Mus musculus: one gene and its partners. The protein of the gene in region 1 interacts with the protein of each later gene in a pairwise test. Links are inferred from orthologs where the notes say so. Each region holds a gene or a part of one and is shown in the gene's direction. Other genes may lie near its edges.

Evidence for each region. The genes of interacting proteins can lie anywhere in the genome.
Region 2: the proteins of Gopc (region 1) and Myocd interact in binary tests that used the Homo sapiens proteins (3 or more experiments, as listed by UniProt). The two-hybrid records come from large-scale screens. The link is inferred for Mus musculus from reciprocal best matches to the Homo sapiens genes GOPC and MYOCD.
Region 3: the proteins of Gopc (region 1) and Mylk interact in binary tests that used the Homo sapiens proteins (3 or more experiments, as listed by UniProt). The two-hybrid records come from large-scale screens. The link is inferred for Mus musculus from reciprocal best matches to the Homo sapiens genes GOPC and MYLK.

The regions. Positions count from the first base shown.
Region 1 is NC_000076.6:52,376,579-52,386,538, reverse strand, and holds the start of Gopc (Golgi-associated PDZ and coiled-coil motif-containing protein), read left to right. Parts: upstream 1-4,414; 5' UTR 4,415-4,640; coding exon 4,641-4,928; intron 4,929-9,960.
Region 2 is NC_000077.6:65,264,627-65,274,649, reverse strand, and holds the start of Myocd (myocardin), read left to right. Parts: upstream 1-4,660; 5' UTR 4,661-4,951; coding exon 4,952-5,006; intron 5,007-10,023. UniProt on the Homo sapiens protein: Smooth muscle cells (SM) and cardiac muscle cells-specific transcriptional factor which uses the canonical single or multiple CArG boxes DNA sequence. Acts as a cofactor of serum response factor (SRF) with the potential to modulate SRF-target genes.
Region 3 is NC_000082.6:34,780,296-34,790,312, forward strand, and holds the start of Mylk (myosin light chain kinase, smooth muscle), read left to right. Parts: upstream 1-4,654; 5' UTR 4,655-4,708; coding exon 4,709-4,732; intron 4,733-10,017. UniProt on the Homo sapiens protein: Calcium/calmodulin-dependent myosin light chain kinase implicated in smooth muscle contraction via phosphorylation of myosin light chains (MLC). Also regulates actin-myosin interaction through a non-kinase activity.

The DNA.
Region 1 (9,960 bases):
GTCCCAGCGTAGGGCTTACCTGCTAAGGTGTTTCATATGGCGACCACAAAGCACTATAGCAGACACTTGCAGAACCCTAAGTGGGAATGGAATCCACAGCTGCACATGAGAAAAGAAAGGCAGGTGACTGAGCTAACCCTAAGTCACTCCACCAAAATTCTCACATTTTTAGAATAAGACAAGGAGTTTCCCCATTTATATTAAAAGAAACAGAGGAAGAATGTGGCTTAATAAGTCACCCCAAAACACTCAAATTTACTTCTTTTGTATGAATTTCTCAAATGTATAAATCATAACAATTTTATTTGACAAATATCATGACTATAAAATAAGTACAATGTTCTGAGGCTTCCCCACATTGTTAAAAGAAAATGGCAATACTTTCCTGACATTTCTTAACCCATCATACAACTGTTTAAAACTACTCAGAGAATCTAATCTCTTTTCCTACTCCTGGCAGGGCTACAGGAAATCAATGGGAACACAGAATGCTTAGCATAAACCTTGGAACAGAGTAGACTTTAAAACTCAATAGTCTCACTAGCCTGTGCAAGGCAGGCTTTCCATATTTTCTAGTGTCACTACGATTGGTGGTGCACTAGAGGAATCTACACCATTCACTGACTTTACAGATACCAACCAACTACCAAAGGACACACCAGAATCTTCCCACTTTCTCTGGTTTCCTCAGTCTTCACTCTGTCTTTAGTGGTAAAACTCAATATGAACAAAACAAGATTGTCAATCTGAATGTCTGAAACTCAGCAGTTGAGAGGCAGAGACAGGATGATTGTTAGAAATTTTAGGCCACCCTGGTCTATAAACAAGATCCCGGCCAGCCAGAGAGATACATAGCAAGACCCTGTCTCAAAGCAACAATGACAAATTAAAGACAGACTAGTTTTAGTTATATTATTTTATTTTAAATCACACAAGCATGATTTATGAGTTGGAAATATCTCCCAACCCAACAGTCTTTTTAAAGCCATGTGAAAGTGTCACAATACAAAACATCCAAGTCCAAATGCCAGCAAAGACAAAGCAACAAATGCAGATAGAGCACACTGACAACAGATGGCAGCACCTGACCACTGAGCCTCTTTTTCCACTTGCCTGTTCTATTGAGACTTCCACAACTGCAAAATCCCAAATTAGAGTAGGCAAAATGTTCTATTAGGACACCTCATGTGCATTTAAAGTCATCAATGAATACTACGATAATGAGTCCATAGAATGTGGCAGTCCATAAGATGTAGTATAATAATGTGACATGTGACCATGTGACATGAAACTAACCTGAGACATCCAAGGTATGACATGGCATTACTTGAAGTTGTAAAGGCTGTGATAGAAATGAAGTTGGGTTCTTTCATGCTGAAAATTAGGATCATTATCAGCCATAAGAACAATGGTCACTCCTTTCCCCTGGCTGGCAGCGCCGCAGGATGCCTGGAGCTACTGTAAAAGACATTAACCAGCAGGAGTTCGTCAGAGCTCTGGCAGCCTTCCTCAAAAAGTCCGGGAAGCTGAAAGTCCCCGAATGGGTGGAAACAGTCAAGCTGGCCAAACATAAAGAGCTTGCCCCATATGAGAACTGGTTCTACACATGAGCTGCTTCCACAGCACGGCACCTGTACCTCCACGGGGGTGCAGGGGTTGGTTCTATGACCAAGATCTACAGAGGAAGGCAGAGAAATGGTGTCAGGCCCAGCCACTTCAGCAGCGGCTCTAAGAGTGTGGCCCACCGGGACCTCCAAGCCCTGGAGGGGCTGAAAATGGTGGAAAAGGACCAAGATGGGGGCGGAAAGCTAACACCTCAGGGACAGAGAGATCTGGACAGGATCTCAGGACAGGTGGCAACTGCCAACAAGAAGCATTAGATGGATGCTGGGTTAATAAATTGTCTCATTCATTAAAAAAATAAAAGAATGGTCACATAAGCACAAAATATACTTCAGAGTCTCTCACGTAATTAGTAAATTTGGTATTTTAAAAGAAATATAATTTGCACTTGTGTGATTTATCTAAAAGGCGTTACAATGGGAAATGCATTTTTACACGTTGTTTATAGTTTTATATGTATACACCTGAGAAATACTGTCTCAAAAGGCTTTCACAAAAGGTCTGCCAATTTTTCATACTAGCAATATGAAATAGATTCCTTATTCTTCTGTATCCTGTAGCTAATGCCAAAGAGACCTACATTAAAATGTCTGCTGTGTGCCATTACTAAAACATTTAATCTGTCTACAATGTACTTATAAAAGAGTAATTATACTTACTGTAGGATGCTTTGAGAATCAAAGAAATAACTCTATACATAGAGCATTCTTAATTAAAAGGTATCGTTATTGTTCCAAGTATTTCCCCATTCTCACACAGTAAGTTTTATTTATTTATTTCATGTTCCTCAGCAGGCAGGGAGAAGTATCATTAGAGAAAATAGCCTGGAGTTTTCTCAGTGTTCTTGCAAATATTGTATACAAAAATATAACAGACTGGCATGAGGGGTGGTAGGCAAGGAGACTGGAGAGATGGCTTAGTAGATAAGAGTATTTGCTGAAGAGGAATTTAGTTCCTAGAACTCACATAGTGGCTAACAGAATCTGTAATTCCAGTTCCAGAGGGTCTGGTACTCTATTCTGGCCTTTGTGAGAGCCATGCATGCTTATGATACACAGACATACACATACATTTAGGGCAAACACACACACACACACACACATTTAGGCCAAACACCCATCAAGCCTCTTTTTCCACATTCATGTTCTGTTGTGACTTCCAGAATTGCAAAATCCCAAATCAAAGCGGGCAAAATGTTCTATTAGGAAACCTCATAAACATTTAAAGTCACCACTGAATACCAAGAAAATGAGCACACAGGATGTGGCAACTGCTACATAGTCACATCTACTGCTAAGTAGCAGATAGTGGGATGTGTGTGTGTGTGTGTGTGTATAGGTAGGTAGATATAGATAAATTATTTTATTATATATTTATATATAAAATACAACCAACCATTCGAAGAGGATGTTTTATACTATTGTGTACTAAGCCTATGAGACAGTCTCTGACTAAACTCAAGGGAAGAGTTGCATGGTTAGTTTTACTTGTCTAAGTTTGCTGAAGTCATAATAGCTTTTGCTTGATGGTAAGCAGTCATGCATTGGAGTAACCAGAGTGCAAACTAAATCTGTTATTTCTTAATTCTTATTGGTACTGCTTTGATGAGAGGCACACAATGCCATGCAGACTTTGGTTGATGATTTATTAGAAAGGTCCGTCCCAAGAACAACTTCCGAAAGATTATGGACTAATTTTCCACATACTCCCGTAGGCGAGTCAGGAAGCACAATTCCTACCTGCCTACTCTAATTAGTCTGGCTTCTCCTTTCCCTTCCGGACAGTCTACTGTTGGTTTAGACAGGGGTGGAGTTGGAGAAGTGGAAGAGATGAGAGGCAGGACACAAAGAAAGCTCTTGATAAATGCTCTCAAATGCACGCAACACTGGAATTAAAAGTCGTGAGAGCCTCACTGTCTTACTAGTTCGGCTTGGATGAGGTCGTTTCATTAGATTTTATGTCCTCAGTGCCTCAATCGGGATATGTATTCAATGTTTATGAACATATGAAAATAACATGGGAACGAGCACAATACTAGTTTATAAGATGATTACAGCATCCCAAGTGGTTGCTTTAGAAATATACGATCTGTGATGCAGTAAGATGAGTGCTATGTACCAAGTGATAACACTTTCACTTTACCTTAATTGCCAAGTGAAGTAAACTTTGGAAACCTTGTTACCCAAGCAAGGTAACACCACTGAGGTGGGGCAGCTAGTATGTAATAATACATTGGCCTAGAACCCCAGCTTGTCAATCATAGAAGGAGGAACCATTGATTCAACAAAACTTGCTCAGTAGCTTCCATAGGCAGCTTCTGGCTGGAATGCACCGTCAGGTTTAGCAACATTAGCCAGTGTCCCCACCCTCCCGCCCTAAGAGCTGGAAATCGGAAGAGAAAACGTGGCTATTGCGCATGCACACACGGCCCTCCCCGCTCCCACCCGAGCCCCTTGACACCCCAGTAGCAACTTTGCTAGACGTCTGTGGACCGGTTCCAGGCCCACTGTGAAGCCAAACTGGCGGAAGCCGGTCCCCTCTGCGACGTGGAATCTTTCCCTTCCCTTCCTCCGGTCTTCCCCACTTGCAAGGGGCCACCTCAACCCTTTGCTTCTCAGGGTTTTGCCGGTCGTCAAAATGGTCGCAGACAGGCTTGTGGAGGCGAAGGCTTTTCATTGGCTAAGCTCTCGTACGGCCCCGCCCACTTTCTCCCTCTGGGCTGCGCCTGCTCTGGGCTCCGCTACGCACGCGCGGCGGGGGCGGGCCGGCTTGCGGGCGGGGCGGGTCTTCCGTGTCGCTGTCGCTGCTTCAGCCCCGCTTCCTTTGCTGCTCTGGAGCTGCGCTGCCGGCGTTGGCGGCGCGAGGGAAGGGAGGGGACCGGCGGGTGTGTGTCTGTGTGTGTGTGCGTGTGTGTCTGTGTGTGCGCGCGCGCGGGGGGCGCCGCGGTGCTAGCAGTTCCCCTCGCGCGGGGCGGGCGGCCAGAGTGAGCAGCAGTCGGCGAGGCCCTGGACGGCGCCATGTCGGCGGGTGGCCCATGCCCGGCGGGAGCCGGCGGCGGCCCAGGGGGCTCCTCCTGCCCTGTGGGGGTCTCCCCTGGCGGGGTGTCCATGTTCCGATGGCTTGAGGTGCTGGAGAAGGAGTTCGACAAGGCCTTCGTGGATGTGGATCTGCTTTTGGGCGAGATCGATCCGGACCAGGCGGACATCACTTATGAGGGGCGTCAGAAGATGACCAGCCTTAGCTCCTGCTTTGCGCAGCTATGCCACAAAGCCCAGACTGTGTCCCAGATCAACCACAAGCTTGAGGTGAGCCTCGGGGGCTGGCAGCAATAGCATTCAACCCCAGGCTGTCCGAGGTCGTTAGATCCCATTTAAAGCACTAGGAAAATGATCCTTAAAAACCTACCCACTGGACACCTCAGCTTCGAATGCGATGGAGAGTGCGTTTTATACGTGAGTGAAGCAAAGGAGTGCGGAGCGGGTGGGGGAGGAAAAGGATGCAGACTGATGTGTGGGTCTCCAGACGTCCTGTCATCCACCTCCCAGCATCTCATGCGGTGGGGACAGGAGCTAATCACACTACCTGCCTTGTAGGTGTTATTACCAAGATCTTCTGTCGGGGAATACCTCAACTCTCCTCTTCTGCTTTGATAATGACAAGCTAGATGATGTATTTTCAGACAGATGCAGCTCTGATTATTTTCATCCAATAGCCCAGATCAACGTCCGTGTCTGTACACAGAGACATGCATGAACTTAGGGGAATCCGATCAAAGCTCTTGGGGAAATGTAATGGAATATATATGTTCCTATCTACCTTCTCAGTTTACATTCACACTTGGCAGATATTACGGGCAGCTATGTCTTTAGAGCTGTCAATATTCAAATAACTTCTAGTATTGAGTGAGATGGTATGTCTTTGTATTTTACAGTATTTTCCCTAATTTCAGACCTTTGAGACTATGTAAAGACAATCCTTTGCTTAGGTCTCTAATCAGAGCAAGGGGAGTGTGATTGCAAACAGGAATTCCAAACCTCCCATTTTGTGTGGAAAATTCAACTAGGCCAGTATTACAAGATTTAGAAATTATGGTGTACTAACATTATATGGGAAACCTTTTAAAAATAGACAATTTCAGTAGAGAGTAGCTCTTTGATTTTAAAAAGGATTAAAAAAAAAGAGAGATACTTTGTTATGTGTGAAGTTCTTTGTGCCTTAGCTTTCTTAAGAGCTCCTCTTTACTGTTAACTGTAATAATGATAGGGCCTGTTGTGTACAGATTCATGTGTATGCTAGATTGGTTTCCTGTCCTTGCTTAGTGCTCAACAGTCTTTCATATTAGTTAGCCATGAAAAACATTTGCCACTAATATTTGATTAGCATCTTACATATTCAGGATGCTATGGTTTCTTTTTGGAAAGAGTGGGATGAAAGTACTTATGTAAAAGCATTAAGTGTAGATAAGGCTGTCTCTTGATTTTTTTTTTTTTTCTCCAATGAATGGTAATTCCTAAAGCTGAGTTTTCAGGTAGTATTTAGTGGCTTTTAAAATGGTATTTTAGCTTTAAAGATCAAAGATTAAGAGTAGCTTTTGCCAAATAACTTACATACCATCTCCATATTTAACCATATACTGGAGATAAGTGGCTTTTAAAACATAAAACAATTTTAACTTGTTTTTTAAATGACCTAAGGAAGCTAAACAATAGTACTTTCTGATGTTAGCAATAAGGTCTGATTTTGAGAAAAATATTTTTTTCCCTATGACTAGAAGGTATTCAAGTTTTTTAAATTTTTAAATAATTTGAAAGAATATTTCTCTACTAGACTGTGCATGTAATAACTTGCGTGTTTTTTTTTCCAGGAAATTATACTTACATATTCTAAGTCCATGTCCCATCTTAGGAAGTAGCATTACTTCTTAAAGTAAAGAATGCTAGCATATCACAGTGTGTGGTTTTCAGTATAATTGCAACTCTTGATTCAGAGACCTTAGAAATGATGAGGAGGATAATTTGGTTTTTCTGCTTAGTATATTCAACTATACATGATTCACCTGTGACAATTTTTATACATAAGACATCTTACATAGTTTTCGTATTATAACTGTGTACTGCTGTGAAAAGACTTATGGCCAGTCACAACTTTCCAAGTACACCTAGTGTGCCATATTCAGACTCTTGGGATGTTCTGTGAACTGTTGACAATCTACTGAGATCCTCAGTGTTAATCTTATAAGAGATTTTGGTGCTTTCTTACTCAGTCTTAATTTTGTCTCAATAAGTAAACTAGGCCTTCTGACTAGTCTTTAAGGATGCTGAAGTCATAGGTGACGCTGCTTGCTATCCGTGTAATAAACGTATACCAAGTTTAGTTGTTTCAGAGATTAGTACTTATAATAGAATGTTTTTATAGTCTCAAGACATGGATAACTCCAGGGTGGGTAATTTGTATCCGTAATCTCAGTCTTTAGATGGTGGAGACAGGAGGATCAGAAGTTTCAGGCCAGTCTGGGCCACATGAAACCCTGTCTTAAGAAAACAGATATAGATAAATGAATAAAACAAACAATACTTACACAAAAGGAACGTTCATATCCTTCCAAAATGCAACTTTTACTCTGTCCTTCTGTTTTTAGGTAATACTACATCAAATTAATCTAGTGGTTGGGAAAACACTTTTTTTTTTTAGTATAGAGTAGAGTTTATTTAGGACATGGGAAGGGGAGTTGAGAAGGAAGTAGAGATGGGGGAGTGGGGTTGGAGGGGGGAGAATAGACTGGACAGGAACACGTGGGGGGAGGAGAAAGGGGTCAGAGAGGGAAGAGAGAGAGAATAGGAGCTGGAAAACACTGAAAAAAATTATTAGTTCCCTTTTAAATTAAATATAAATGCCATCCATGTAGCAGCTTTTTGCAGTAAGTTATATTTGGCAAGAGATGTATATAAAGGACTACGTTTGAAGAAAAAAAAAATCAGAATATTTTGAGTTGGCACTATTTCAACTTAAATTTCTCAAACTTTTACCTGCCTGAGAGTTCCCGCTATGGTGAGACCGTTGGTTGAGGCCCAGCTAGAGTCACCAATAAAATAAGAGTAACAGTGGCAGTAATAGCCATAGAGGACCAAAGGCCATGAGCCAGTGCGTTAAAATAACTCACCTCTGTTTTGGAATGTATGCTCTGTTTGCTCCTTTTAAGAAATAATAGCAAAACAATACACCTAGACTGCACATGGTGGTCCTTGCCTATAGTCCCAACACTATGGAAGTGGAGGGGGGAAGATCAAAGACACCCTCAGCTATACATTGAATTTGGGACCATCCTGGGCTACATGACACCCTGTTTCCAAAATCAAAAAAATAAACCTTCTATTACATGTCTTTCTTCCACAGTAGCTGAACTTGTTAATGTCTCTTTGAAGTGATTTAGTGTGCAAATCATTACTAGAGAAGTGTTAGGCCTTGGTCAAAAGTTATGTTGACATTAAACTGATGATATACTTGATTTTGTGCCACTTTAAGTTTGTACTGTTGTATTTATTTGTTGGTGGATTGGTGTGTGGGTGTGTGTGCAAAGGAGAAAGTTCAACATCAGGTATCTTCCTCCTGTTTTGAGACAGGATCTCTCAGTGAACTTGGAGCTTGCCAATTTGGATAAACTGTGCTGGCCGGTTAGCCCCTGGCATGTCCTGGGGTGGCAGATGCCTGTCCGGGTCTGGCTTTTTACTTGGTTGCTGGGATCTGAACTTCAGTGCACATACTTGCATAGCAAGCATTTTATCAACTGAACCATCTCCCCAGCTCCATTATTTTTATTTCTGAAACAGGAACTCTTGTCATTGCTGCCTCCATCTCTGCTTCTCCTATCTCCATCTCCCTGAAGGAAGTACTCTCAACCCAAGACTGTAGTGGACTAGTAGAAATTAAGATAAGAGATACAGAAATACTATTTCACATTGTATAAAATCAGTGTACTAGAAAGTGGAAAGTATGATGGTGCTCATGGTGCATCTGAAAATCTGGGGAATTGTTGAATGTACACAAGAAGTGAGATGCCAGATAGATGTGTATTGGCAGGTAGCGAGCCAGACTTGCCTTCTTGCATAGGCTATGCCGTAGACTAGAGCTTTATCATAACAGGAGCAAACATTCTTAAACTAGATGTGTGTCCCAGATAGATTTGATTAGACTCTCCTGGTTATAAAATCCAAGTTTTAATGTAATAGGCTATCCTGGCAGAAAGTTTGAGAAAATAAGAGTGAATGCAAGAAACTCTTCAAGAGTTTCAAAGTATCCATGTGGCATTATGGTAGTATAAACTAAGTGATATATATAAAGTGTTCAGAGCACGAGAACCTTAAAACGTAAAATTCAACAGAGTCCAGAACTGGATTAGAGGGAGGGAGGGATGAAGGAATTTCGGACAACTTTATGATGCATTGTTCTTGTGTCTGGACAGATGGATCTGTGACATTATTAGCAATAGTGATATATAGCTAACCTTATGGATCAGTTACTATGGATTAGACTCTGTCTTAAATTTGTTTTTTACATATTCATCTCATTTTCACAGCAGTTCCTTAAGAAAAGCTTATAATTATTATGGAAAGGATGTAGGCGGCCCACACCAAGCTAAATAAATCATTCTGTACAAACAAATTGATGTTAGGAGGGGGTTGGGGAGACAGTTGAGAAGCATCCGGAAGAGGTGGGTATGGATGCATAGCTTAGAAAGGCAAAAGTAGGCTTCAGGGAAGGAATTACTTACTTTATTGTGTTTTTCAATGAAAAAAACTAAACTTGAACATGTTTATATTTAAGGGAAAAGCTGAATACTGTGGGGTAATATCAAGATGGGTAATATTAAGATGCTGGGTACAGATAAGACACAAAGAGCTGGCACAGTAAGTGGCTTTGCATTATTTATATAGTAAGGAGTGAAAGGTGATGAGAATAGATGGGGTGAGAGGGTTGCCAGGATTTCTTTTCTTTTTCTTTCTTTCTTTTTTTTTTTTTTTTTTGATTTTTCAAAACAGGGTTTCTCTGTGTAGCCCTGGCTGTCCTGGGACTCACTCTGTAGACCAGGCTGGCCTCGAACTCAGAAATCTGCCTGCCTCTGCCTCCCAAGTGCTGGGATTAAAGGTGTGTGCCATCATTACCCGGCTAGGTTACCAGGATTTCTGTGTGATTCTTCTTTCACTTTTCTTCTCTAAATTAGCTCAGGTCAGTTGCTGAAATAAGAGGAAGGACTCGAAGAGAGTGGAAGAGGTTGTTGTAGATATACATTAGGGGAAAGTCCCATTGCCCAGAGATATGAGCTGCCAGGCAGTAAAGGAC
Region 2 (10,023 bases), on another chromosome or scaffold:
CCTAGATCTGGAAGAGGAGACAGTTAGCAAGCATTTGTACCTGGCTACTTCTGCCCCACTGTTGGAGGATGGCAGTGAAGGGACCATGCCTTCCATGCAGCAGTTGGTGGGGGTCATCATGGGGCATTATTCTGCCGAGGCAGGCGCTCTTTTGCTAAACATCATATTTACTTTTTAAATAACCTAACTTCCCCGCAGTCCAACCAATCATATATTAGGACACACTTTGTTGCTATTTACAGCTAACTGTGTTTTCAAAACCCCAATGTGTCTTACACCCTGGATTTCCAATTCTCTGAGCCATTGTGGAGCAGGGTGGTATAGGTCTATATTTCCTCCCAAGTGGCCACAGAGAGCCTGGGACCACACAAACAACCAGGTGTTCCATCTGTTGAATGCTACCCTTCACCTCTATGTTCTTGTTTGTCTGTTTGTCTGTTTGTTTTTTTTCTTACTCTCCTCCCACTGAAGTTAATTGAGTTTGCAAATCTGCCTGACAGGCAGGTACTTACCTTGGTGACACAGACAGATCCTAGAATGCGTTCTCAGAGTGTGTGAAGGGAGAAGAAGTGGTCAGATCTGTGAAAGGAAGAAGAGAGACTATAGACAGCAGGAGACATCCAAACCAAGGACTCTTCCAGATCACTGTGAAAACTGATTCAGCCGGGTTTCCAGCTACCACGCTGAGACGGAGCCTCCTCCTGGAGGCACGCAGGTCCTGGACCTACCCAGGAGAGCTGACCACGCTGCACTTGCCTGTGACCCACTATCGAACTTCATGTTGCACTCAGGGAAGGAAGCCTCTAAGGATCCGAATTCAAGCTGACTCTCCTGAGCCATGCTCCGGGCTCAGGCCTATGAACACAACCATTCCCATGTTAACCTTCATGCTGAGAAGCACAGCTATGGAGGACAGAGCTCTAAGGTGAGCCGGCATTGACTTTCATGTCCCCTTATATAGTATTACCTCCCCTTAACCATGTGCTGGCCTGCTGAGAATGCCAAATGGCACTAGTATGAATAGAGTATGGTTTTCGGTAACAATGAAGTTTGTGTGCTTGTTTGTTTGTTTTGGTAAAAATGGAATGGTCTATTGCAATGATGGTCTTTACCTATAGCACCACAGACCCATGAGCACATTGTCCTGAAGCCTCTGGGGCAAGGAAGCATCAAAAAAGGACAATGAATTTTGCTGTTATTGTTGCTGCTGCTGCTGCTGCTGTTTAGACTTTTTCCTTTCTTTGTTTTATTTTAATTTTTAGACAGGGTCTCCCCAGGCCTTGGTCTGGAATTTCCTCTCTAGCTGAGGATGACAGAGAATTCCTGGTCCTCCTGCCTCTACCTCCCCTGTTCTGGGCTTACAGGCAAGCATCCTCACTCTCAGTTTAGTAATAAAGATTGTTAGTTCTACCTTATAGTTATATAATGTATTCTTTTCATCCCTATATAAGAATTTACAATCTTGAGAGAGCATCCTTGCATGTGGGCTCCATTAGTGCATGTCTTTACATGCCATGTTACTATAATTTGTGACACAGTTTTTTTTTTAATTGACTAGCAGTAAAGTAAAATAAATTGAAGCAAAGTTCCATAGCAAAAGGGAAGAATACTGAAGAATCATCATGGAGGAGTAAGATCGTAGCAGCAGCCATTGCTACATTGCTAGGCTACACTCTGACAGCAGCTGTCTGAGATTCCATTCTCCTGGGGGAACAGCCTGTCCAAATTCCACCAAAAAAAGTCATAAAAATATTTGAGCATAGAGGGCAAAGGATGAGCCTCTATAATGCACATATTTATATCCATAGATATCCCAAAGCCATAAGGGCTAGAAATCCCGGAGGGCAGAAGTCAGCTGCTCTATTCTCTGATGGGAAAAATCGAGGAGAACTGTGGTTATCAGGGTTTCCCAACTCATCCATGGAGCTGCTGGGGGTGGGGTGAGACCAAGAGACAGAGAGATGGGAGAAAGAGGAAGGGAGAAAGCCAGGAAGCGAAAATAAGAACGGAGGCATGCTGCTCTACTCTTTTAATTCTAGCACTCCAGAGGCTGAGGCAAGACTGTGGTCAACCTGAACAGGCTCTACTCACAAGAGCAGCTAAACAACACAAACCTAACACAATGGCTTTAAATAATGCAAAAGGGGAAGAAGGAGGGGGATGAGGGGGAAGAGGAGGGGGAGGAGGAGGGGGGAGGAGGGGGAAGAGGAGGGAGGAGGAGGAAGACAATACCTCAAGGGCAGCTCAGAGATGGATGGGTAGGGAGGCAAGGAAGGTGGAGAGAGATCTGAATCGAATCGGGTTGGGGTAGGGAGCATGAATATGATCCAAATTGATAATATGAAATTCTTGAAGAATTAGTTAAAATATTACTTTAAGGATTAATGAATAAACTCCTTTTGAGATGAAAACTAAAAAAAAAAAAAAAAAAAAAAAAAAAAAAAAAAAAAAAAAAAAAAAAAATCCTAGGGCAGGGAGACCTCATCTCACTAATCTCACTAAATAACAATAAAAGAAAGCCAGCAAAAGAGGGACTGTGGTCCTGTCCACAAGCACACACTCCAACCCCCTCCGTCCCTCTGGGTCAGAAAGACCCTTGGTTGGATCCTTCAGCTGATTTTATCACAACTCCCACTGAATAAAGAAAGCCCCACTAAGTTGCCGTGGGCATCTCCTCAGCCTTGCTGTCTTCAGTGTAAACATTCCTTTGGGTCTTTCCTTCTATTCTTTCTTTTTCATGTTTCACAGAGTTTCCTCCATGGGATAATTTTGTGATGTCCCTTATCCTGCTACCTCTTTTCTCTGGAGTCGCCCCTGCCCCATGCATCTCAACCCTGCTTAGGGCTGTTCTAGACATGCGGGCCTGACCCCTCCCAGTCCTTCCTCTGTTGTGTTTCTCTTCTTTGATGAGCTGGGACGAGAGAGACCTTCTCTATGTAACACACAATACAACATCTTCCCCTTCACTTCCAAGTTCAGGCATCTGCAATTATGTTACATTGCATAGCAAGTGGGAATAAGGATTCATCATCAGCTAGCCTGACAGAGTTTTTCCTTAAAGTAAGGTTAACTCAGAGAGAGATGCAGAAGGTGGGGAGGGAGGAGCTAGACTGATAAGATGTAATAAGAACTTGACCCACAATTTCTGTTTTGGGAGATGGAAGAACAGGCTGGAAGCCAAGGAACATGGGTGGCCTCTAGTAGTTGGAAAGGGAAAGGAAATGGAGTCTCTTCATGAGCTTCCAGAAGGGAACACAGTTCTGCCAACACCTTGATTTTTTTTTTTTAACTCAGTGAGACCAGTTTCTGACTCCCAGCCTTCAAACCTGCAAGGTAATGAATCGGGATTGATGTAAGCCATTAAAGCGGCTGTGATCTGTTCCCACAGGAACAGCCCAGTTCAGCACTGCTTGTGGAATGCACAACCACTGCCAGGCTACCACAGGAGGCAGCCTGTTGTAGGCTCGTACTGCCCAACCCTATTCACAAGAGGAAGTTGAGTAGCAGGGCTCCACCTCCTCTCTGATTTAGTGAGGAGGAGCATTACCTATCTCAGAAAACGAATTCCAAGATTCAAGTGCATTGGTGCAACCCAGAGAATGGGAAAAAGGAAGGTCTGGGCACCCTAGGGTGTCTTCAGCAACAGTTGATAGAGGCAGAAGACCCCGGATCAGGGCAGAGATTAGTCCCTAACAGATATTGTTACATTAGGCCTCCACCTGTCATTGTCATTCTCTTCAAGAATTCACAGCTTTGAGACAAAAGGGGAGATGTAAAGAATTGTATCTGGGAGCTCACGTGCATATAAAGTTGCAAATAGTGGCAAATTGTGTGTTGTATGTATGCAGTTCAATGTTTTTTTTCCAACTATCTAAATCTTTGTCTTAGAACATGTGTTGTACTTAATGATGCACGTGGGACCCTGTCACCCCAGGCACCCCAGAGACGCGCATCCTCAGCGCCTCTTTGGGTCCCTTTCCCACTATGAAAGGGACGTGAAAAACCTCTGCACTTTTCCGATCTGGCTTGCCCAGGCCACCGAATCCTACCCTGTTGAGTGCTCAATAGTACGCTCAACTTTTGCACCAATCGCACTCTGGGCTCAGTCCCCAGACACAAACTTTTTGTGAATCCAAAGAGAACATCCAACCACAGGGAAAGACTTTCTGCCACTTCTTCAGCCGCTCAGTAGCTGCTCCAGGCATCGGTCTCCTGAAGCACCACCGCTCGGATACAGAGGGGAAGCGGGTGCTCCCGGGAGTTGCAAGCCAACCCAGCTTCTTGGCCCAGGCTCCAGCGCGTTCTGGAGATGTACCTTCCAGAGCCCTGCAGTAAGCTGGGGACACCAGGGACATGCACACCTAGGACAAGCAGATACACTCCTACCGTCGCCAGGCGCCACCTGCACGCCGGGCGCCGCCTGCAGCCTTCGGGCATCCGATTTAGGGGTGCCAGTGCAGAGACTCCCGCCTGGGCAAGCAGCCTTGGCGCACTATTCTGCAAAGAGTTAAGAGCCGGCTGTTAAGACTCCTGGGGCCGCGTCTGGTCCCCAGGCCCCGCTCACCGCTCCTGATTGGCTGATCTCCTGTCAGTAGTAAAGAGGATCAGATAGCAAACTTGGGACCTTCATAAAGGCGTGGTGGCGGTACTCCGCGACCGCTGGCAGCCTATGACATCAGCCAGGAACGCCTAGGATGCGGCTGTTCCCGGCCACCCTCAGAGGAGGAGGGTCCTGCCTGCTGGGAGTTAATTAGCCTCGCGAGCGGCGAGGGGGGAGGCGCCAGTTTTCTGGGGACACTGGCGGCCACTGTGCGTCCTCCTACCCAAGGGAGCTCCCCAAGAGTTGGATGAATTCTGGGTTGTTAGCTGCTGTCCTCTGGGCTCCCGGGAGCCAGTTTCTGGTGGAAAGCGGGGCGCCTGGCCAACGACCAGCGGCTTGCTGAGACTCACCATGACACTCCTGGGGTCTGAACACTCTTTGCTGATTAGAAGGAAGTTCCGATCAGGTAGAGTAAGGCGTTCAGCACTCCTTAAACTTTTCATCTCTACCACTCAACTGCTTTACAATGAATGCTTCGGGCCTGAGGTGGCGGCCTTCCCTCTGTTTCCCCAAAATGAACACTGTGTTTGACTGAATGCCTTCAAATGTCTTCCCTTTGACCTGTGTTAAGTTTGAGTTTTGTTTACGAATAATCCAATGTTTTACTTTATTTTACTATATTTTCCTTTATCGGTAAATAGACATTTTTAAGGGGACGACCCAAAAGGAACTGTGTTGAAATGGGCAACTCCAGGATCTGAAGTTATAGAGTGGGCGCGTTATCAGTTACAACCGCTGAGACAATGTGCCTAGGACTGTGAGACGTCTAGGGGTCACTTAACATGTAGCTAATCCAAACAAATGTATTTCCCAAAAAAGTCACTTGGAGGAAGTAAAAATAGCGAATTTGGAGCACACCAAGAATTTTTAAATGACATCACCATGGGGGAAAAAAACCAGCGCCACAAATATTTTTTCCCAAACCATCTGATATTTATAAATGGACAATTTTCCCTAAAATTGTTGTGTTAGTGGCACACAGAGAAACTTCTGGAGGGACACTCAGGAGAGGTGAGTATAAGGAAAGGGTACGTGGGGGCCTACAGAAGACGCAGGATTGTGTTCCCTCGTTCGCATCCTGGAAGGGCTACCTAGCTTTGCCCATTCTTGCTTTTATAACAGTGGTAACAGGGCCATTCAATGATGGCAGGGCACCTTCTAAGAACGAACATTTTGGTGGATAGCTCTGGTGTGAGCCTTCCATGTAACAGGTGCTGGCTGATGCTGGTGCCACTCACTCTGTCAATTCCCTTGGTCCTTCTGAAGGAGCTACTCAACTGTTTGTCTTGAAATGAGTGGCTCAGAAATTGTGCACAGTGGGTGATGGGCCATAAGGAGCCTCTGTAACCACCTCAGTTGTTCCTGATCCTTAGGTGTGGATGGGACACTCTGGGGATTTCTTGAAGGATTGTTTAGTGAGGCAAGTTGAAAACTTAAGAGCTGAAGTGGCCAGGAGCCACAGTGCCTCTGGAGGCCTGGGGTGTGTCTCCTAACCACTAGCCACCGGGGTCAGCCATGCACGTTTGTCCTTTCCATGTTGAGGTGAGGTGGTTAGTTTGTTCATCAGAGACCTCACATGCTTGGTAATTTGCTCAAAACCACAAGGCAATACTGCCACCTTTCTGAGGGAGCAAGGATGTCATTTTTGTTTTTGCATAAAGCTGAGTTTATTTCAACTGCTCCCGTGCAGTTTAATGGGGTAGACGGAGGGACAGGGAGAGGCTGCTGGATCATTTCTAAAAGGATTTGGTGATGTTCTTGATAGTGGGCTTGCAAAACAGACTTATCAAGGAATTCCTCAGCTGAAATATGGTGGAGAGGGAAAACTGTTTGCACTATTTTAACCCCTAACTCAGTGGATTGTGCAGGCCTGAGGTCTCTACCTGGACCCTGCGAATCTTTATCCTGGAGCTTTGAAGAAGTCCAACCCCACTTTTTTTTTTTTTAAGACAGGGTTTCTCTGTGTAGCCCTGGCTGTCCTAGAACTCACTCTGTAGACCAGGCTGACCTCAAAATCCACCTGCCTCTGCTTTCCAAGTGCTGGGATTAAAGGCATGTGCCACCACTGCCTGGCACCAATCCCACGTTTTTCAGGCATTTTTGTCATAAGGAAGGTAGTTTGTCGAAGCATAATACAGAAGTAGGAAGCTTAATTTAAGCTTTGATTTAAAAGTTGAGGGGACTGGAATCGATGACAGACAAAGCCAGTTGCGCATCTTAGGTGTTGTGCTTGATAATCTTACACAAGAGAAAGAAAAACATTATTGTAAGATTGTAAATCAGTTGATGGCTACTGGTTATAGTTCCTGGACAGAGTGACCATGGTGGACATGTGGCCCTGAGGCCTGCCTGGCCTTGTATTAACTGCCTCTGCCTAGGGGACTTTGCTTCACTTTCTGTCTAAAAATGAATGAGGAAGGTCTCTTGTTCACCTTGATATCTCTCTCTCTCCCTCCCTCCCTCCCTCCCTCCCTCTCAGTCACCCCCATTTCTTTCTTGAGGGATTCCAGCTGCCAACTCTAAAACTTCGTATATAGCAGTGAATATTCACTTCAATAGTAGATCCTGGTAGTATGATTTTAAAATTAATGTTTCAAAACTAACTGAAAGTAAACTGTCTTACGATTATAGCAATGGGCTTGCTGTGATAGGACTCGTCCACCATCTCCAGACAGTCCCTCTCATTCTGAAACTGGCGTGGGCAGCAACCATGTTTTACCAACTCCCTACTTACAAGTAGACGTGTGATTGACTGACCTGCCATGAAAGTTTGGGACTCAGAATGTTTACATCTGTGAACATGTTTAGTGATGTTAATTAATCTTACCTAGCAGAAGCAGGGTGTCATGGCTGAATGTGCGGGTCTCGGTCAGACTAGCTGGGTTTTCAAGCCATCACCTCTTTGGTTTTGGCTATATGACCTTTAACCTAGGCCAGCATCATAGCTCTTCTGCATCTTACGTGCCTCATACGTGGAGAATGCTGGTGACTTCATGGTGCTTAGAAGAGATAAATCTGATAACACAAGTACCTGAGTTAGGACATTGACATGCTGGTGAGCCCTGGCCAAACAGTGCTCAGGACGAATAGCAGTGGGATCATCAATCGCCCGTGGCTTCCTTCTAGACCTTGGTTTCTTAGCTTGTAGATGTCCAGGTGAAATGATGTGGTTTCTTAGGCCACGCTGGTATTGTCCGTGGCTCCTGGGAGGTGTAAAGATCATGTGGGAACAAGTGAGCTGATGAGGCTGCGTGGCCTTGGTGGGCGAGTAGAGGGCAGCTTGCTTAGACGCAATACGGTTGTTATTTTTAAATCGACCACGTTTTACAGAATTCATTTTTCTCATTCGTAATCCAGTTCTTGTAATTGGTGTAACTTTCTGAAGTTTTTTTCTTCATATCATTCTCTGGGTCAAGGGCCCACACAGGAATACAAGCAGATAAAAAGAAAAATGGAGAGGTTCCTTTGTGGGTTTTGTTTCAAAAGAAACAATGCCTTTCCTTGTTTTGTTTTGTTTTGTTTTGTTTTGTTTTGTTTTGTTTTGTTTTGTTTCTCCCATTTCTCTCTGTTACCCATCTCAATCAGCCCAAACCAAGGCTAACTCTGGTACCTGGCATTGCCCAGCCTTGCCCTCCCCACAAGTGTAGAATTGTCAGATTTGGCAAACAGGAATACGGAACACCCTGTTCAGTTTTAATTTTGAACAAACAATGATAAAGCTTTCAGTATTTATCAATATTTAGGATGGAGTTTTCTCTGAAACGCACTTCGTTATGCCTATCGTATTTTCCTTGGCAATCACCTACAGTCCTGGGACTGTTTTTCCAACACTCTGCTGTCCTGTCCAATATCCCATGAGCCTCTTGAGATTTTGGGTCCCCCAAAATACAGAATACATATCTCAGCTAAGTCTCAGCGTGAAGTAGGGACGGCATGAGAAGGAACCCTGGTGCCCACGAGCAGACCCAGGATTCAGAGGGAAGGAGGACAGCAGGTTCATCTCGGCCTTCCTGGCAAAGAGGAGACTCTGATACTGCACAGCTATAGCTAAAAGAAGCTGGGGACAATCCAGGCAGGCAGTGGATGCCCAGGATCCAGGCCCCCACGTATGTGAGTAGTTTCTCCAATGGAAAGCCCAGGTCTTCCTTGAGGGATTTTAGACCCTTCCTGTCCCTCTTTTCTTCGTCCTGCAGATGATGTAGTAGATTTACTGAGTTCCTAATTAATCTAGACCCTTAACCAGACTGGATTGTCTCTCTTACAAGCTGAGGTCTTTAGATGGGGATGGGGACCCCTGATTTACCATCATAGACACTATGGGAAGAAATGTCCACTATATGATAAAAAATATCCCCGTGCTGCCTGAGCCACTAGCTAGTCTTAGAGCTTGGGACAAGAAATTTAACCTAAAATAAGGCCTTTCCTATGACATATAACCTATAGAGATGTCGATTTAATTTGGCTTTTTCAGATCTTGTTTTTGTCCTGTGCAAAACCGAAGGTTTTAACTGATTCATCTCTGAAGCTTTTTTCAGCCTGAAGACTTTACCTTTTCCCACAACTGAATGGCCTTAACTATTTTTGTGAAATTTTAAACAGTACAAGTGTTAAAATTTAAACACTAAAGCATTGTCATAAGAGACGCGTGGTGGCGCACGCCTTTAATCCCAGCACTCGGGAGGCAGAGGCAGGCGGATTTCTGAGTTCGAGGCCAGCCTGGTCTACAAAGTGAGTTCCAGGACAGCCAGGACTACACAGAGAAACCCTGTCTCAAAAACACCAAAAAAAAAAAAAAAAAAAAAAAAAAAAAAAGAGAGACTGTACTGAATTGGGCTTTAAATGATTAATTTTTAAAATAGGTATCTTAATTCATCTTTTAATTAATTAATTTCAAGACCAGGTCACTCTCTAGGCCAGGCTAGCTATAACCTACTACGTAGCCCAGGATGGGTAATACGCCTGCCTCAGCCTCCTGGTGCTGTGATTAGAGACATGTGCCTCCATGTCCAGTGATATTTTAAATCGTTTGTAAAAGGCAAAGACACTTTCAGGGTCAGACTTGGGTCACGTCCCCAAGTCTGATAGCAGTGGATTTATTCATACAGCATGGGCTTTCTCTCCCTATCTGAGTTAGATGCAAAAGCCCGGCCCTTCTTCCTTCCCTATTTTTATCTCCTATCCACTCCAAACCTTTGCACAGACTAAACATTTTACTTATGTACTGGTATATTATTATTCTATGTGTATAAGAAAAATTCTTATCTGCTTTTGGTTTACAGCCTTTTACTCTCTACCACCTAGGCCAGGGCGTGGCATAGAAAGGGAACCCACAAAACATGTGCTCAGAGCTGGATGTCCCTCAGGAATACAGTATGTGCGTAGGAGACTCGGGATTGGATCCTTGGGACTTCAGAAATAAATAC
Region 3 (10,017 bases), on another chromosome or scaffold:
AATGTTTTACTTTTGTAGGGTACATTGGTAAAAAAAATAAATAAATAAAAATTAAAAGCTCAGTAGACATCAGAGAGGAAAGACACCTTCCTGATGGAGCTGAAGGAAGTATAAGCAGAAGTAATTTTGAAGAAAAGGTTACTGCAGTAGAACTTGGTGCAAGATTGGATCTGGTGTATTTTATTTTGTGTTATATACTTGATTATAAGTGTTGCAAACTGGCCCTATCCAGTGCTAAGTGTTTTATTTATTTATTCACGTTACAGCCCATTATCAGTTTACTCTCTCTTCCCAGTACCCCCTCATACAGATCCTCCCCCAATTTCTCTCTCATCTTCCCCTCACACACCACACCACATCCCTCCGCAGCACATCAAGTAACTGTAGTACTAGGCACATCCTCTCCCACTGAGGCCAGACAAGACATCTGTTATATATGTGCAGGGGGCCAAGGTCCAGCCTGTGCTTGCGTTTTGGTTGTTAATTCAGTCTTTGGGGGCCCTCAAGGGTTCAGGTTAGATGACTCTTGGTCTTCCTGTGGAGGCTCTGTCCTCTTGAGCTCCCTCAATTCTTCTTTCAACTATTCCATAAGACTTCCGGAGAGCTCCATCTAATGTTTGGCTGTGAGTCTCTGAATTTGTTTCAATTGGCTGCTAGGTGGAGCCTCTCCGAGGACAGTTATGGCTAGGTTCCTGTCTGCAATCGTAACAGAGCATCATTAATAGTGTCCTATGGATGGGTCTCAATTTGGGCCAGTCATTGGTTGGCTATTTCCTCCATCTCTGCTCTATCTTTGTCCCGATTGATCTACTGCACATCTTGTAAGCAGGACACATTCTGGGTTGAAGGTTTTGTGGGTGGGTTGGTGCCTTTATCCCTCCACTAAGAGTTCTTCCTGGCTACAGGATTGGCCACTTTAGGATCCATATCTCCCACTGCTAGGAGTCTCAGTTAGAGTCACCTCCATTGGTGCCCCCAGGGGACTCCCTCCATCCCAGGTCTCTGGCACATCCTAACAATTACCCCCCAGTAGTAAGTGTTCTTAGTTTGTGCCATTATCGTTCATCAGGTTTTAACTCTTACAGATAAAATGTTCTTTCATAGTTACTGAACTTAACAGATAAAAATGTTTCAAGTCATGTCATTGCTTTGAGTTTTCTCTAGTGTTTAAGCTCCTTTCTACTTTTGTCCTGGGGTACCTGAGTCACCCGGCACTAGTCTTATCCAGTAATGCTACTTTGTATTTTAATGGTCTGGCTGAGGCTATCCATGTTACCTTCCTGTTATGAAACAACACACAATAGGGCTTGCCCAGTGTTCTGCAAATGGAGACCTGAGGCTGTGCTCTGTACTCAGGGTTCACTGAAAAACCATGTGGTGGCCCAACAGCCTTCCCTTCTCTGCAGGGAAGACTCTCACAGCCCGTGTCGTTGTATGTTCTCAGACACTCAGAAACTTTCTAGGTGGCTCTAGATATTTCTAGTATGGCACAGGCATATTTCTATATTAACTGGGAAAAAAAGCAATGTGTAAAACAGTATATATAATATGCTGTCATTGATATGTAAGAAAATGGAGACAAAACCATGTCTTTCTTTACCATCTGTATCTAAGAGACGGGTGCTATGGCTGACTCTGGAAGACATGTTGGTGTTAGGCACCTGGGAGTAGGCGTGGCTATGTCTCCGGTGTTGAGCTATAACAGTGCATTAGCTATTCAAAGAGAATAGCTTTGCCCCCTTCCTTCATTTCTTAACTCTTGGGCTTTCAGGACCTTTTCCAGGTGCTTCTGGTCATTTGGCTGCCACAGACGCGTGAAGACACCTTTCTTCCTCTTTGAGTACAACAGAACCTTTGTAGAGACAAAGCCCCACCTGTAAAGCACCTCTTGTGGCTGGCTGCTAAATGAACTCCAGACTTTCTAGACCAGTGGTTCTTAGATTCAGTGAATCAGAAGAGCTTGTTGATACACAGGCTCTAGCATAAACGTTTTAGTTAAGCAGGTCTGAAGTGGACCTAGAAATCTTCAACTGTCACAGGCAACTGACCAGGGTGAGGACCTCGCTAATCTGAAATAGCTTCTCCTTCTCATACGTTGGAGGATACTTTTGGTGTCCTAGCTGTGACCTCATTTTGATGTATGAGGGAATCAAAATTAGGATAGGCATGTTTTCTTTCCTTGGGCATGTCTGTAGTCCACTGTTAAGCTTTCTGTCTAGCCAATAGCACCTGACAGGATCCTTCCTCCTCAGATAGACAATATATATGTACTTTACCACCAGCAGACGGACACAGCAGAAACCTGGCACCTGTTCCTCCCATACACCCTGGAGCAGACATTCTTGTGGTCACTGCTGTCAACTCCCAGTGAAGGTTTAATTGGTGCTTAAGAGGGATACTAGAAGAGGTCCACTAATTGCTGATTTCTTTCCCAGTGCTTCTTTGCAGGGATGCTTTTAGCATCTTAGGCAAGACTGTTCTTTATAATGAACTTTCTGTTTAATGTAGGTAATTGGATCTTCTTTCCTTTGTCCTCAATTCATTAAGACAATCCATCTCACCACACATTCAATGCCCTCTGACTCATTGATCACCAGCCTTTCATCCCTTCCCACCAGGATGGGTGGTGACGGCAGTACAGTCTTCTGCTCAGAACCATGAAATTTGTATTAGCATCCTGACCTCTGCCCCAGTACGAAAGCAACGAACGGCCTTTGACTGCACTTTAGTATTTCGATGGTTTCTTAAAACAGATGCTGATATTAAAAGAGACCAAATGGTAAATGTTTCTTCTTGAGTGTCCAGTGGTGCTCAGTCTATGGTGATGTGTACTCTCGCTCTGTAGGAAGCCTTTACGAATTCAGTTGGGGGGGTGGAGTAGGGGGACATGTTCTCTCATGCCTCTCATCAGCTTTGCTCCAGAAAAAGTGAACTTTTTTTTCTTTTGGTTGCTCCCAAGTGTCATGAAACTTGGGAATAGATGGAATTATTGGCAGATTGAAAAGTTAGCTTAGAATGAGCCTTTCTACACGTACTCTTAAATGCTCAGTAGCTCCGTTTCATGTTTTCTTGTGACTTCAAGACCTTTGAAAGAAGGAATATGAAGAGTCCATGGAACAGGGAAGTACTAATGATTGTAGCCAGGAGAGGCTTATTCTAGGCCTGAGAGTGGGAGTGATGGAATGTCCAGGGGCCTGGCCCTGACTGGGTCTATCTAAGGTGTGGTGGCTCTGAGAATAGAGGAGAGGCATGGTGAGCTTAGAGGCCTCTCTAGCTGGCAGATCATGGAAAGTGACTAGAGAGGATGTGGTACCAGCTCCACACGTGTGGAAAGAGGAGCTAAGGTCAAGGAATTCTCCGCCAGCAGCAGAAGAGCTGAGCTTCCGCTTTGTCTTCCGTCTGACTTAGCACAGAAGAGAAGCAGAAATGCCCATCCTGACTGTGTCCACTTGGTCTTGTGGCCAAATAGGACAAAGTTGGTGCTTCCTGCCAGATGGATGGAGTATCCAGCCAGGAGACCGAGGTAGGCCCAGCCATTGCATTCCTCTAAGAGCCCAGTTACTCACAGTTCTTTAGAATGTGCCTCAAAGTAGGAAGGAAGCCATCAACTCTGTGTGAAGGAGCCCTCTGGGGCTCCTTTGTGCTTCATTAAGGGACCTCACAAGGATCTTTCATTCTGTAGCCTCCTGGCTTCCCATATGCCATGATGAGAGCCCATTTCCCTTTAGGTTTGCCCTTCATAAAGTAGCATAGCTCAGGAAAGGTAGAAACAAGCTACAGAGGGCAAAATCCACGAACCTGCACTTTGAGAGAAATGGGTCTTCTAAAGGCATTAGTTTCCCGCGTAAAAATGTAAAATTTGCCTCCAGAAGGAGCAAAGGTCTCTGAAGAAAGGAGACGAGAGACCTTTAGTGTCCTGGACTTGATGGAGTGGGTGGACTCTGTCGGCTGCCTTGATGTGAATTCTAGAGAAACAAAGAACAGAGGCCCAGTCTGTCAGAGGGACACTTGCCTCTGAGGCCATTCTTCTTCCACACTGTATTATTTTCTTTTAGCTCTGTCAGCCCTTTATCCGTGGCAGTGTCTCTCAAGCCAGGCCTCAGCTTACCCAGGCAACTTCTCCAGAAGACCCTGTCATCCATCTATACCTTCACTGCCTGGAGGTGGCACCCAAAGCCCTTCTCCCTCACCCTCGTCAGAACCAAAGCCCTTCTCCCTCACCTGTGCCAGACCCCTTTCCAGTCCTTCATCCTGACCAGAATACTGCCCATCAGTCTTCCATGGTGAAGAAGGCTCTTCTTGGAACTGTTGTTTCTGAACTCCAAGTTTGTAGCACCCCTTACTATCACCTGTGAGACTTCCTTGAGCACAAGGTAATGTTCCTGGCTGCTCTTATACTCTTTGACATGTCTGTCTCTGATTGGTTTGTCTTTCCTTTCTCCTTTTTTTTCCTTTTCTTCTCCCCACCCCTGTGGCTTCTGAGCTGCAGTTCAGAACATTCCCTGGTACGTGCAGGGCCGGAAGCAGTTCTCCAGGCCCTTCCCTGGCCCTCCTACCAGTTACCACAGCCGACCACAGAGAAGGCACTGGTGAGTCAGCAGGGCTTAAGTACTGCTGCTGTTGACCATTCTGCCTCAGGATCCTGGAGAGCTGTAGAGGGGAACTCGTGTCTCTGCCTGGGTTTCCAAGAGAGCCTTTATGTGAAAGCATGTCTGGCCAGTTACCTGGGAAGGTGAGAGTACAATGATTTTTTTAGAATTACTTGTTGGCCTTGGCTTAGCCAGTAAAAATTTAGAGTCAATGAGAAGTGTCATTGGGAGCAGCCAGGACAAAATCTGAAAGGGTGGAGGGGTGGGGAGGGGGCTTCCAGCTTCTGCTAGAGATTATTCATGCATGAGTCCTGAAACTTCCCCTCCCGACTTTCCAGGGCACCCCTCTGATGAACTCTGCCCAATTTTGAATTCTCTTTTGTCTTTGTAGGGAGGCAGACCTCCTTGGTTTGGAGGATATAGTGGGACCCTGTTACTGAGCCTATAACCACAGCTGGTTGTATGTCAGTGAGCTGTTTCAGGTTGCCTGAGAGAACACACACACACACACACACACACACACACACACACACACACAGATCGCAGATGTGCTCGCCTTCTGTTTATGGAGAAGGCTCTTGTAGTAACAGACACAGAGAAAGCCTGTTGAACACAGATGGTACCTTTTGTGGCCAGTTGTACAGTAGCAAATATTCTCAGGTTTCAAAACCATGGGTCATCCTTTGGTATTTTGTGTATATAACCTGTGTCATGTACATATATAACTTTCTATTGTTTCCACGGTGAGGGAGGTGAGTTCCCTTTGCCACCTTAGGTTCTACCTTATTTTTGAGACAAGATCTCTTTCTGAGGGGCTGGCAAGATGGCTCAGTGGTTAAGAGCGCCGACTGCTCTTCCGAAGGTCCTGAGTTCAAATCCCAGCAACCACATGGTGGCTCACGACCAGCTGTAACGAAATCTGATGCCCTTTTCTGGAGTATCTGAGGACAGCTACAGTGTACTTACATATAATAAATAAATAAATCTAAAAAAAAAAAAAAAAAAAAAGATCTCTTTCTGACCCTGGAGCTCCACATTCTCTCTAGACTACTAGACTAGCTGGCCATCAAGTCCCAGAGATCCTCCTATCTCTGCTTTCCCAGAGCTGGGCTTATGGTGCACACCCCTGGGCCTAGGTTTGACATGGGTACTGGGGATTGACCTGAGGCTCTGGGGTTTATGTAGCAAGCACTTTACTGACTATAGATTGTAAATCATGTCCTCTAGATAGCAATCAAACGGTCCCTGAGAAGTTTGGAAAGTCATGTCTTCACCTAGGGCCAGGATGTCCCAAATCCCATTCCTTTGACCAGTAACCAGAGTCCTACAGGCTCAGTTCCCGGTATTACAAGCTGCTGACTGTGAGGCAGGGGTTCATCTTCAATGACCTTCAGTGTTCTCTGGGACCTAACTGCCTAACAATAGCACATCAAACCGCAGTTGCAAATGCTTCATTGTTAATTCTTTTTCTTATGGCAGCACACGTATTTTTCTAGACTTTGTTACTTGCTAATTCGTATTTAAATATGGAATTTAGTTCTATCTCTTTCCGAGGTAAGCATTTTCTCTGAGCTATTTTGTAGAGAGTTAATGTGCTCCTCTGTAGGTTTCACATTGTCTTGCTCTTTTGTATTGCTCCTTACATTGAGATTTATGCAGCCAGTGGGTTATTCATCTGTGGATGGTCCTCTTAGTAAATTGCTTTCTCTTGGGCCTGTGTCTCAGGAGGCTGCTTGGGACCTTTGCCATTATTGTAACCATCTTGGAGAAATTCCGTCCTCTTTTCCAAAAAAGAATACTAAAATGGCATGCCTTGATACTCATTCATTCATTCAAGAAGTCTTCCTTGAGTGACAAGAGCGTCAAATTTCCTGCTCTAATGTACTTTTCATTTAGAGGGAGAAGTAGGTAGCAACTTTAAGGTGCCGTGGAGAACAAAGTGAGGGGCGTGTGCATGCTCGTTTAATGCCTGATGGCCAAGTAGAACACATTTTTTATGGAGGGGACATATAAGCAAAGTGGAGAGTGAAGGAAAAGCATGGGTCATAGGGCATCTGGATGGAGAACTCTGTTCAAGGCCAAGAGCTTGGCAACCACAAAGATCCTGGGGCTGGAATGAATTAGGTGTGATTGAAGGAGCAGTGAGTTGGCCAGCTAACAGCAGGGGGCTAAAGCAGAATGTAACAGGAAGTGAATTTTGACCGTGGTTAGGGCATTGCTATGGGATATTTACCTGTTTCCTCCAAGCCTAGGAAACTGTGGCCCTCCACAAGCTCCCTTAGCCCCTTTGGCTGTATACATCTGCTTTGATTTTTCCTTCCTCTTCCTCCCACTCAGATAGCTGTTGAAATCCTGCCTTGTAGTAAATAGTTAATCTCAATAGAATGGCGGGAGGCGGGGAGGGCATTATTCTGCCCTTTCTTTCAGTTCCCAGATAAAAGACACAAAACTTTTGTATTTATAATAAGCCTTTAATCAGCACTAGAGCTGGGCAGATATCCGTCCTCTAAGCTATTAGTTTCTACTCCCCTATCTATAACCCTGAGTTATAACTTGCCATGTTTCACCTGGGCAGCTCTTAACTCCAGTTGACCAGCCCTCATGGCCATGTTTTCATGACTCATCTACCCCATGGCTTCTTCTCCTCTCTCCAACATCTTCTCCCCCTCCTTGTGTACTTCTGCCTCAGACCCACAAACCCAGGAGCCAAAACACTGCCTACCTCTCTTCTGCACAGCTACAGGCTGTAGGTATCTTTATTCACCAATCAGGGGTAACTGATCTGGTTACAAAGTATCACTTGGTGTATGTGAGGATTTCTTTATCCCAGGGGCGTTATAACACACAGCAGCAGACCAAACCTCAACATGCAGGCAATGGTAAGGACTTTGGATTTTATTCTGTATATAGTGAACAGCCCCTGAAGATGCTTTGTGGTGTGTGTTGGTATCTGACTGCTATTTGGGAGAGGAGTGGAAAGAGAAGCAGATGATGGGCTCTGCAGTGGTCTATAAGTATCATGTTGGTGGTCGTAAAGTGGTCAGATGAAGGACCAGTTGAAGTAAATTCTGGGTAAGAGGCAGGGTAAAAAAAAAAAAATGCTAGATCTGAGCTCAGTGTCAGGGATGCAGCCTTTGCCTGGATGGAAACCACCACTGGAGAAACACCTGGCTGGAGAGTGGGATATTCTGCTGGTTTTTTCTTAGATAAACTAGTGGAGGTATCCTGCAGGCTTCTGGCTGTGACATTCAGAGATCAGTGGGGAGTCTGGGAAGTGAGAATAGAAAACTGTTGCTTGTATATAAATATGTGATTCTGGATTACATCACCCAGGAAGTGAGCACAGCAGCCACTTAGGGGCCAGGAAGAGAAAGGAGGAGGAAAAGAGGAGAGTATCCTAGAAAGCAAGGGCAGAAACGACTGTCAGGGAAAGAGGAGTGACTGGCTGTGTCAGTGCACTGATGTGCTTCACATCTCCATAGCAACCGCCATGGTGCCTTCCAGGTGTGATCAGGCCATGCCTCCTCCATTGGACTAGCAACTCAAGGAGGCCAGGGTGGATCTGGTCTTCTTTTTATGCTTGAAGCTACTCAAGACTGTGACTTGGTTAAAAGGCAGGTGATGGGGTCTGCTTGCTCCAGCCAGTGGAGATTGAAGGTGGACAAGGAGAAGCATAGTGCTGGGTCTTAGTCACTTTTCTATTCCTTGGCAATAGCAGGTGGCACCCTCTGCTCTCCTTATACGTGTGTAGGCTTCTAACAGTGGGTCCCTTAATGGGTTCCTCCACAGGTGTTAATAGTCTTGTGTACAACTGTGAAGCTGTGATTTTTTTCCCCCTTCATCAGTAAGCCTAGAAATTGGGATTTCTTAATTTGGAATCTCCTGAAGTATCTGCCTATTTGCAGGGAAATGAGCATCACCAATGCTTACAGCTAGACTTTTAAAAACTTATCATTAATCCTAAGTGATTTTTTTTAACCAATGATAACACCTACCTAAAGCTCCCAGGAGAGGTAGGTCCCCTTGTCTGTTTCAATTTAACCAAGTCACAGCTCTGTTGTGTGAGACCCAAAGTGACACTTGTTTGCGCTATCTACTTGGGGAGAAGATTGGGGGTGGGGGGCAAGGAAGACGTTAAGGGATGTCCCGAGGAGAAGGGGTTGAATGGCAGAGAAGACAGAAGGAACAGGAAAGAGCACACAGGTGTCAGACTCCCAACTTGACCCAAATGTGGTTGTAAGGCTCCAACCTTAGGACAGGGGATATAGAAGAATCATAATGGGCAGTTTGAATGCCCATTGCTTGATGTAGCCTAGGGCTCCTTACTTTCTATGTAATCCTGAGTGTGCTGAAGAAGCACAGAGGAGAGCCCTCTTTGGCCTCCTTTGGAGATACCTTTCTCATAACCATGAGTTCAGATCCTTATAGAGAGCAAGGCCCAATGGGACCTGTGTCCAGGAAGGAATGATATGGGAGTACTTTGGGTCAGCCGTGACTTCTTCCTTTGACGATTAGTATGTATCCAGGGGAATGCAGTGGGCCTGAAGATCTGGCCATTTCTGACTGGAAGCAGTACCTAGAGTAGAACAGCCTTAAAGACCCATGCCTTGGTTGGTTCGGAATTGATTTAACCAAAGATCACAAACTGGGTGATTTATGAAGAACAGAGATTTATCTCTTACAGTTCTAGAGGCTGGAAGACAAAGATTAAGAGGTCACATTTTGTGAGGACTTCCCCCCTCCCCCCATTGCTACATAATCTCACGGTAGAACGTGGGTGGGCAAGAGATCATGAGACTCAACAGGTTTCAGCCTACCTTTATGGCAAACCAATTTCCAAAATCTGAGCCTACTCCTGTATGAATGTTGCTTCATACCTTAAAGGTCCTCCATCTCAACATTGAAGTCAGGATTCAGTTTCTAACACATGAGCTTTGGGGGACACACTCAACAATTGAACCCTTCAGAACTGGGCAAAGTATGAGTTAAATTAAATATAGTTTCTTTGCAGCTAAGAGAATGGGATAAGGTTTGGTTATAATTCTTTCTCTCTTTCATGGATGTAGGGAGACTAGAGGACTCGGATAAATAGTGAGACCGTAGTACCATAGGAAAGGACAGCAATACTTTCTGATTGAAATGTTTATGAGTGCTTTAAAGAGATGGAAGCCCATCTCGGCATAAGGAGACCACCAATTGAGAATCCTGTATAAACAAAGAAGACCATTGGTGTGGGTTAAGGGCCCCCTCAGAGTTCAAGCTGGTAATAAGCTTTTAGCCCAGGGTCCATCCCCTGGAGTTTTCCATGGAACTAAATTATAAACTTTTCCAGACAATCCCTGATCATGGGGCCTGATAAAGTTCAATCTTACTGCTAAAGCTATGTCAACATTAAAGCTGCTTTTATTCATTTGCTATCCATTAAAGC